2 linked regions of the Canis lupus familiaris genome follow. The protein of the gene in region 1 binds, or shares a complex with, the protein of each later gene. Links are inferred from orthologs where the notes say so. Each region holds a gene or a part of one and is shown on either strand. Other genes may lie near its edges.

What was found. The genes of interacting proteins can lie anywhere in the genome.
Region 2: the proteins of NAA35 (region 1) and NAA38 are in contact, whole or in part, in a cryo-EM structure (PDB 7MX2), measured with the Homo sapiens proteins. The link is inferred for Canis lupus familiaris from reciprocal best matches to the Homo sapiens genes NAA35 and NAA38. Residues at the interface, in NP_001308810.1 of Homo sapiens: Val30, Asp31, Ile32, Thr33, Phe36, Ala39, Cys40, Leu43, Leu45, Glu47, Leu48, Leu49, His50, Asp51, Phe54, Glu58, Ala59, Ala62, Ile63, Glu64, Met65, Met66, Ala72, Gly73, Met74, Gln306, Arg307, Leu309, Pro310, Pro311; in NP_001307854.1 of Homo sapiens: Ala41, Arg42, Leu45, Glu46, Leu48, Leu49, Arg61, Phe67, Leu68, Cys69, Thr70, Asp71, Arg72, Cys74, Ile77, Arg97, Val98, Leu99, Gly100, Leu101, Ala102, Met103, Val104, Pro105, His108, Ser111, Ile112, Glu113, Val114.

The regions. Positions count from the first base shown.
Region 1 is NC_049222.1:74,346,405-74,350,597, forward strand, and holds the start of NAA35 (N-alpha-acetyltransferase 35, NatC auxiliary subunit), read right to left. Parts: upstream 2,801-4,193; coding exon 2,677-2,800; exon of another isoform or gene 2,643-2,676; intron 1,323-2,642; exon of another isoform or gene 1,189-1,322; intron 1-1,188. UniProt on the Homo sapiens protein: Auxillary component of the N-terminal acetyltransferase C (NatC) complex which catalyzes acetylation of N-terminal methionine residues. N-terminal acetylation protects proteins from ubiquitination and degradation by the N-end rule pathway.
Region 2 is NC_049226.1:32,918,778-32,922,165, reverse strand, and holds NAA38 (N-alpha-acetyltransferase 38, NatC auxiliary subunit), read left to right. Parts: upstream 1-1,161; 5' UTR 1,162-1,170; coding exon of another isoform or gene 1,171-1,247; 5' UTR 1,248-1,302; coding exon 1,303-1,386; coding exon of another isoform or gene 1,387-1,521; exon of another isoform or gene 1,522-2,166; coding exon of another isoform or gene 2,167-2,247; exon of another isoform or gene 2,248-2,438; coding exon 2,439-2,622; exon of another isoform or gene 2,623-2,729; coding exon 2,730-2,842; 3' UTR 2,843-2,888; downstream 2,889-3,388. Other genes in the region: CYB5D1 (cytochrome b5 domain-containing protein 1), read right to left, coding at 538-1,053, 1,171-1,247, 1,341-1,521.

The DNA of each region.
Region 1 (4,193 bases):
GATGGTTTGAATTAGGCAGTTTCCTAGAGAAGCAAAGCTCAGAAGTGTTAGATAAATGACATGTTACATACCAGGCACAGTAACAGTAATAGCACCATATATTCAAAATAATTTAAGGGGGGAAAAAAAGCCCTCCTACCCCCCAAAAAAGGCCAAGGGCCTCAATGTTGAAAATAGGAAATGTGGAGGGAATGTGTGCCATCTGCCTAACAGGAAATAAAAGAAGTGATGAAATTAGAATTTGGTCCAGAAGACTTCGAAGAGTCACTAAAAGAACAGATAGAAATGTACATGAAAAACACTGTCATCACTATGCAGATTGCTTTCTCGGTACCAAAATAAATAATCCCCAAGGTCTAGTCAAATACCATCGCACTGTTACTGAAGAGGAAAGACCACTGCAACAGTTACAGGGTATAATATTTGTTTTAAATTTAGCCCTCAGAAAGCTGCTGGAGTCTAAGCTAAATTAATGCTATGAATCTGATTTCAAGAAAACAAATTATTAATAATATAGGCTCAAGAGCTCCCAAAAGACTTTAGTCCTAAATCTATATGTAAAGGAAGATCACTTCTACATCAACTTTTTCATTTCAAATATACCTCACATCTGTGCCACTTCAGACCAAGCAAGAGCTAATTATTGAAAAGTTAATAGGATGGTTTGAGGTTGGCAACAAAATGACATGCTCCCCCTCCTCAATCCCCACTGAGACAGGAATAAAACCATATTGCCTATTTAAGGTTCTGCTCATGAGGAAGCAAAATTACTCACTCTCCCTCAAATATCCAACTCTCATGAACTCTGGTGAGAGTAACAGTTCATCTGAGTCTAGAATAATTCCCTCATATTCACTTACAGAAACTCCACCACTCCTCTAAGGCCCAACTCAAGCCATATGAACTTCATAAAGCCTTTTCCATTTAGGTTCAGAACAACAACCCTCTAATATAGATCACTTAAAAATCAGTGCAGGATGACGGGCATAATCCATCAACAGTTTAAGATCTCTGGGCACAGAAATTACACTGTAACTTACACTTCTTTCTCTCTCCCTTGGATAGATGGATATGGGCAATCCCCCAATTTCCAGTCTAATATTCTTTCCACAATTTCACTTTTGCTTTCTTTAAATGGACACGTTTCATAACAAAGGGTCAGTGCACGTGTTATCATTTTGCTTATGCCCAGCTGACTCCCTTACCACCTGCAGCTACTCCGAGTCTCTACTCCTCCTTCTAAGGGCACTATTCTAAACACTCCATCTCATCAACAACGAAGACTTAACCTTCAGTTTAGTAAAAACAGAGAAGCCATCAGGGTGTGTATCCCTCTACCATTCCTCCCCACTCGTTTAGAAATCTACCTGTTTCTTCACCAATCCTAACCTCAGTTCCTCCTGTCTCAGTAATTCCTCATTCTGGTCCCCTAAGTTAATTTCTCTACCATGTTCTTTATCCCATCCTCTCTTCAAATTCAATCTCTCACTCTACCATTTTTTTTTCCAAAAAAATTTTATTTATTTATTTGAGAGCATGAGCAAGAGAGCACAGTGGGGAGGGAGGCACATGGGGAGGGCAGAGGGAAAGGAAGAGGTAGGTTCCTGAAGTGGGGCTTGATCACAGGAACTGAGCAGGAGGCAGCTGCTTAAACAACTGAGCCCCCCAGGCACCCCTCCCACTCTACCATTTGTCTCTTTCCTGTCTCTCCCTAAGACCCATTCTCCTCAGACAACAAATATGCTCACTTCTCTAATCATTTATGCCTTTGCATTTGTTAAACCATTACTATGTTCCAGGCAATGTTCTCTGTGTTAGGCTTACAGACAAAATGTCTGCACTCACAGAGCTTTATGTTCCAGTGGGTAGGGCTGACAGTAAACAAGAAATAACTGAAAGGACAGCTTCTGATAGTATATAAGTATTATAATAAAAAATAAATAAAACAGAGTGATTCAGGTGAGGTAGAGTCGGACAGAAGAGAACAGGGCTAAATCTACTAAATCTACTTAGATTAATTGTTTGGAGACATCCTCCCTGGGGAGCTAGCATTTAACTGGCCAGGAAGGAGCCAGCTATGTGAAGGTAAAGACCTGGAGGCAAAGCAGTTTAAGATACAGAAAAAGAAATATGCAGAGGCCCAAGGGGAAAATGCCCTGGTGAGCTTAATGGCATAGAAAGGACATTGTGACTAACATAATGAGCCTAGTTGGGCAGTGGTACAGAAATGAAGTCAGTGGTAGACAGGCATCAGACCACACAGGCCACGGGGATGGAATATGGATTTTATTCTATATTGAACAGGAAGCCACTACAGGCTCTTAGACAGGAAATAATGTGATCTGATTATTTACAAATCTCAAACATATAATAGTCCACCATCTTTAGGTCAAGACAATTCATGTTTGCACAGTCTGAAATTATTGCCATGTACTCTCTCATCTGTTAAGGCTAGAAAAACTGAAGCAACTGCTTCAACATCTGTATTTCATGCACTATCAAATACTGGCTTTAAATGAAAGTTAAAATTATTAAGAGGGTAAGGAATGAATAAGTGTGGTTAACAAACTTGATAAACCACACTTACCTGTTGCTTACGTTTGAGTCTACAAATCACAAGATTTTATTTTACCTTTTCCCAGGTTGTTAATTTCTAACCCAAGAATTCAAACTCACCTCGACAAGCTTCTTCAAAATCTTGGGTTATGTCCACCCAGCTTGTATTGCTTTTTTCCATCTTTTCTGGTATACTGAGCTCCCATCCTGAATCATCATCTTCTACAGAAGCTTTCATGACCATAATGCCTATAAAATTAACACTGGTGTAAAAGAGATTGTGGCTTTCAGGGCAAGACTATTTGCAAGCCATGTGTGTTCACTCAAGTCCTGGATGGAAGTCTTACTAAACTGCCAGACTTCATCGGAGTTTGATAGTGGCAACTGGGAAATAAAAAAAATAAAAAATAAAATAAAAAAACCTTAACGCAATTAAACCTTACGTTAAAAGCACTGCTGCTTATTTACTAATAGCCGAGCACCTACAAGGGCTTTTAAGAGCTTGCCTTCCCACCATCCAAGGAAAAAAATCAGAAGCCACCCCCCCACCACTGGCCCAAGCAGGATGAACTCCAGAGCTTTCAACTTTGCACACCGGACACAAATGAGGAAGGCACTCTTCAGAGCCGCCTCTCGCAGCCCGGGGCCCACGAGGCAACTATTGAGTCAGGGTGGTCCCTCACGTGCCCGGAGCTCTCCGGGCCCGGCAGGACCCCGCACAGCCTCGCACGGCGGGCACCGAGGGCGGGAGCGCCCCGCAGGGCACCTACTCGCCCGGCCCAGAGCGGCTGCGCACCTGAGGCGGGACCCGCCCCACGACCACCTTCCCCGGGTCAGCCCGGCCGGGCCCGGCGCCGGCCCCGGCCCCACAGGGCGCGGAAGCAAGGACAGAGCTGTCGTCGCGCGGGAGGGCGGGCACGCCCGGTGCCGGGTCGTCGCCCGGGCAACACCGGGCAAGGCCGGGGCCTCGGCGGGCGGCGGGCAGCGGACACCGGAGAGCCTGCAGCTCCTACCTGAAGCGCGGCGGGAGGCCGGGGCCGCAGGGTGACCTGGCGTCCCCAGGGTCCGCCACACGCGCGGGGGGCTGCGGCTCTAGGACGCAGGAGGAAGGGAGAGTCAATGGCTCTGCACCGGCAGTCCCTACCTACTTCTCCCGTGGCCACCCGCGCCGCCACGCACCGTCCAGACCGCGGAAATAACGACGCCGCCTCAGCCGCCTCAGCCGCCGCCGCCGCCGCCGCCGCCCCCTCCCCTCTCAGCCCAGCCCGGCCGCCCCGTGCGCGCATGCGTACGCCCGGTGCGCGCGACCCGCCCCCTCTCCCTCACTCCTGGGGACTTCGCGCGCCCCGGCCACACCCCCTCCCTCACCATTGCCACCGATGGCTGCCGTCTTCTCTTCTCGCGGGATTAGAGCCAATCGCGAGACCGGAAGCTACCTTCCTTCCCCTGCCTCAAGCCTACTCCCGGGTGGTGGGCGGGTCCCGGGGAGGGGTGGAGCTTGGGGGGGGTCTGAGCCCCGCCCCTCCCCGCGCGGCTCCCTGGGAAATTATTAGAAAGGTGACGGTAAGGCGGGAAAGACCCGGGAAAGTCCTTGTAGACCTTGGCAGTTGTGTCCGTGCAAGAAAAGCCTGAGTGTG
Region 2 (3,388 bases), on another chromosome or scaffold:
CGTCCCCTATAGCTCCGTGAGGTCATCATTGAAGTAGAGCAGTATGGCAGGTATGTAGAGTGTTCCGTCCATATTGAGGTAATCAAATTCTTCATCCTCATCCCGGATCCCATTCTCTTCCAGGGTATAATCCATGTTCAGTTTCTTCCCTTCGTATTTCCATGTATAGCTGGCAGCATGTGCGTTATAAGGGAGATACCGGTGGAGGATTTCCCACATTGATTCCAGGGCCCCCACCTGCAGAACATGAAAGCACCCCATCCCCCAGGATTTCGGATGGGACACGTGCATGCATCATGTGCATGTCCCACGCTGAAGCCAGGAGCCCAAAAGATGACAGTGCTGAGAACAGAGAGCCTCTCTTTGGTGGATAGCATTTCTAGGCACTTCTCTGGTCCCCAAATGAAGCTGGGGCTCCAGCACGCAGTGAATGACCCCGAAGTGTCACCTGTCTCTAGGGCAGCCACTTTTAACAAACAGATGGCCCTAAAGGGTCAGAGTCAGTGCCCCCTCCCCTCATCCCTTTAACAGAGTTTATTAATAAGAGAGTCCGGCTGCAACTGCTCTCCAAAAGACAGCCTGGAAGTGCTTCCAAGCCACCACCGTGGCTAAGGTGTATGAAGGAGTCTCGGTACCCTGTGATCCGGCCACTACTAGGGTCCCAACCCTGGAGACCGCTCTCCAGGTGGTCCGCCCTCCCCGGTCGCCTCTAAAGATGGGAGGGAAGGGATCCTGCTCCCATTTTCTACGGAGACCCAACGGCCCGAAGATCTCCTGGCAGACTTGCTGGGATCCCCAGTTCCCTCCAACCTGCCCGCAGGCGCCCGTTCTCACCTCCAGCGTGTGCTCCTGCGACGTGAGCGTGTTAATGATGCGGATGCTCCGGGTCTTGGCCGACAGCCGCCCCACCTCGTAGCGCGTCCCCTGCCACCAGGGCTTCCCGAAATCGTTGGCCCAGTCGGAACGGGGCAGCTGAGGCGGGACGTGCAGAAAGCGGCCCCGGGGGGTGCGGTATCTCAGCGTTCCGGTCAGCGGATCTACGTGCTTGCGGATCTTTAAAGAGGGTTGGGGAGGGGGTTGCAAGGGGGAGGGGCAGTCAGCACCTCCGACTCCCGCCACCCCCGCTTCTCCCCCCACCCCACCCTCAACCCGCGGTCCGGCAGGGCTCACGTCTCTGGTCTTCGGGTCAAACCAGTGACTGATGTCCTGGCCCGCAACTTCTATGATGGGTTTTAGCAGCAGGTCCCCTGGGGAAGGAGCAGCCGCCGTCAGGGCTGGCTGCCCAAGCCCGCCCCCGCTCCCATGCACGCCCTGCCCCTGGTCCAGGGAGCGGCCCTCACCCTTGTGCTCCTGAGCCAACGGCGTCAGGTCGTACACGGATCCCAGGTAAGACACCCACAGGTCTTCCGGCAGGTTGTGTTCGGCCACCTCGGCCGGCGTAAAATAGCGACGCTGGAAAAACTCAAAGTCCGGCCCGTCCACGAGGCCCCGGCGCTGCATGGCTCCTGCACTGTCGGCCATCAGCTTCTCTGGTTGCTTCGTCGCCCCTCAGCACGCCCTCACTCACTCACTCATTCACTCCCTGCGCGGCATCTTTCCTCCTAGCGAGCGCGTTGCTCCGCTGACATGGAAACCATTGTCCCTTCCCGGCCACCGTCCACGGAGATCAAACACTCGGGACGAGGGGCCGTCCGTGCTCACGGGAAACGTAGTCTGAATCTAGCTTTCAAGAAACTGAGTTGCGTCCTGCAGAGGTTTGGGGGCGGGGGGAAGCGAAAGCTCCGTGTTCAGAGTGGTCTGGGCTGGAGGGGATATTTAGGACAGACTGTGTCGCGAGGCAGAAAAGCAAGGGACGATGGGGTGCAAAGCGATGACGAGAAAAGATCGTCTCGCTACATGCCAGGATTTCTGAAGGATTTGTATGAACCTAAAGAGGGAAAACTTCTCGCGATATCTTAAGGCATCCGGCGCCGTAGGCCGCAGTGAGCCACAGTGCCGGAACAGTGGGAGAAACTCGCGAGATCTCTGCAGTTGCCCAGGAGACAGGAGGAGGAGGGGAGGTGATCTCGCGAAAGAAAAGAGGTCGGGAGCACTCGCGAGATCTCGGACCACCGGACCCAAAAGGTTCTTAGGAAGTTGAAGGGCCCGGAGCCGGCCCCGGGGCAAATGGCCGGAGCTGGACCAGCCATGCTGCTACGAGAAGAGAATGGCTGTTGCAGCCGGCGTCAAAGCAGCTCCAGCGCCGGGGTTAGCGCGGGCTCGGGTTCTGGGATCGAGGGCCAGCCGGGGAGCAAGATGGGGGGGACGGAGGGGGAACTGCAGCTCCCGGCAGCCCCCGGGCTCCGTGTGAGCGCCCCGCGGGCTGTCGGGAGCTGTGGTTCCGCGGGAGGGCGGCCGCCGGGGCTGCGCCGTCTCAGCGCGTGTCCCGCCCCGCGCAGGACTCAGACGGGGAGCGCGAGGACTCGCCGGCCGCGCGGGCCCGGCAGCAGCTAGAGGCGCTGCTCAACAAGACTATGCGCATTCGCATGACAGACGGTCGGACCCTGGTCGGCTGCTTCCTCTGCACCGACCGCGACTGCAATGTCATCCTGGGCTCGGCGCAGGAGTTCCTCAAGCCGTCGGGTCAGTGCCCGAGGACATCCTCCCGGGACTGCGGCGGAGTCCCCCGGTGTTCTGGGGCGGGACCGGCTCTGGCCTACCTCCCTGATGCTCTGACCTCTTCTTTGCAGATTCCTTCTCCGCGGGGGAGCCCCGCGTCCTGGGCCTGGCCATGGTACCCGGCCACCACATCGTCTCTATTGAAGTGCAGAGGGAGAGCCTGGCGGGGCCTCCCTATCTCTGAACACGATCGCGCGTGCTTTGCACACCATTAAACCTGTAACGAAGTGCCTGGTGTCCGAGTGTGGCTGGGATGTCGGGAGCACTCTCAACTCTCCTTTGCCTACCTGGCCGTGTGGGGCAGCCAAAGGCTCCCTCCGGTTCGGGGGTGGGGATGCACTAAGGACCAGCAGGCCCCAGGGTGGGCCCCTCCATCTTCCCTCCCACGCTGCTGCTCCAGAATTGTGGCTGGAGGGGGTGTCATCCTGCTCCGGAAGGCCCATTGTTTCCCTTCCCGGCCTGGCAACACCCGAGTTCCTCCAAGCTGGGGTCAGAGAACGGGCTCGGGTCCCCAAGGGGGAGCAGGGCAGGCGACAGAGGCCTCTATTGAGGGGGAGGTGACTCTAGGGTCAGGGACGGAGCTCTGGGGTCTAGCCAGGAAGAACGGGCTAACGCGATAAGGGAGGCGGGGAGGCTGAAGGATGCGCTCTGGAGCCCTGGCCCCCCACCCCGTGTTGTTTCCTGCCTATGGGCACCAGGCAGGAGTGACAGGACGTGTGCAATCCCTCTG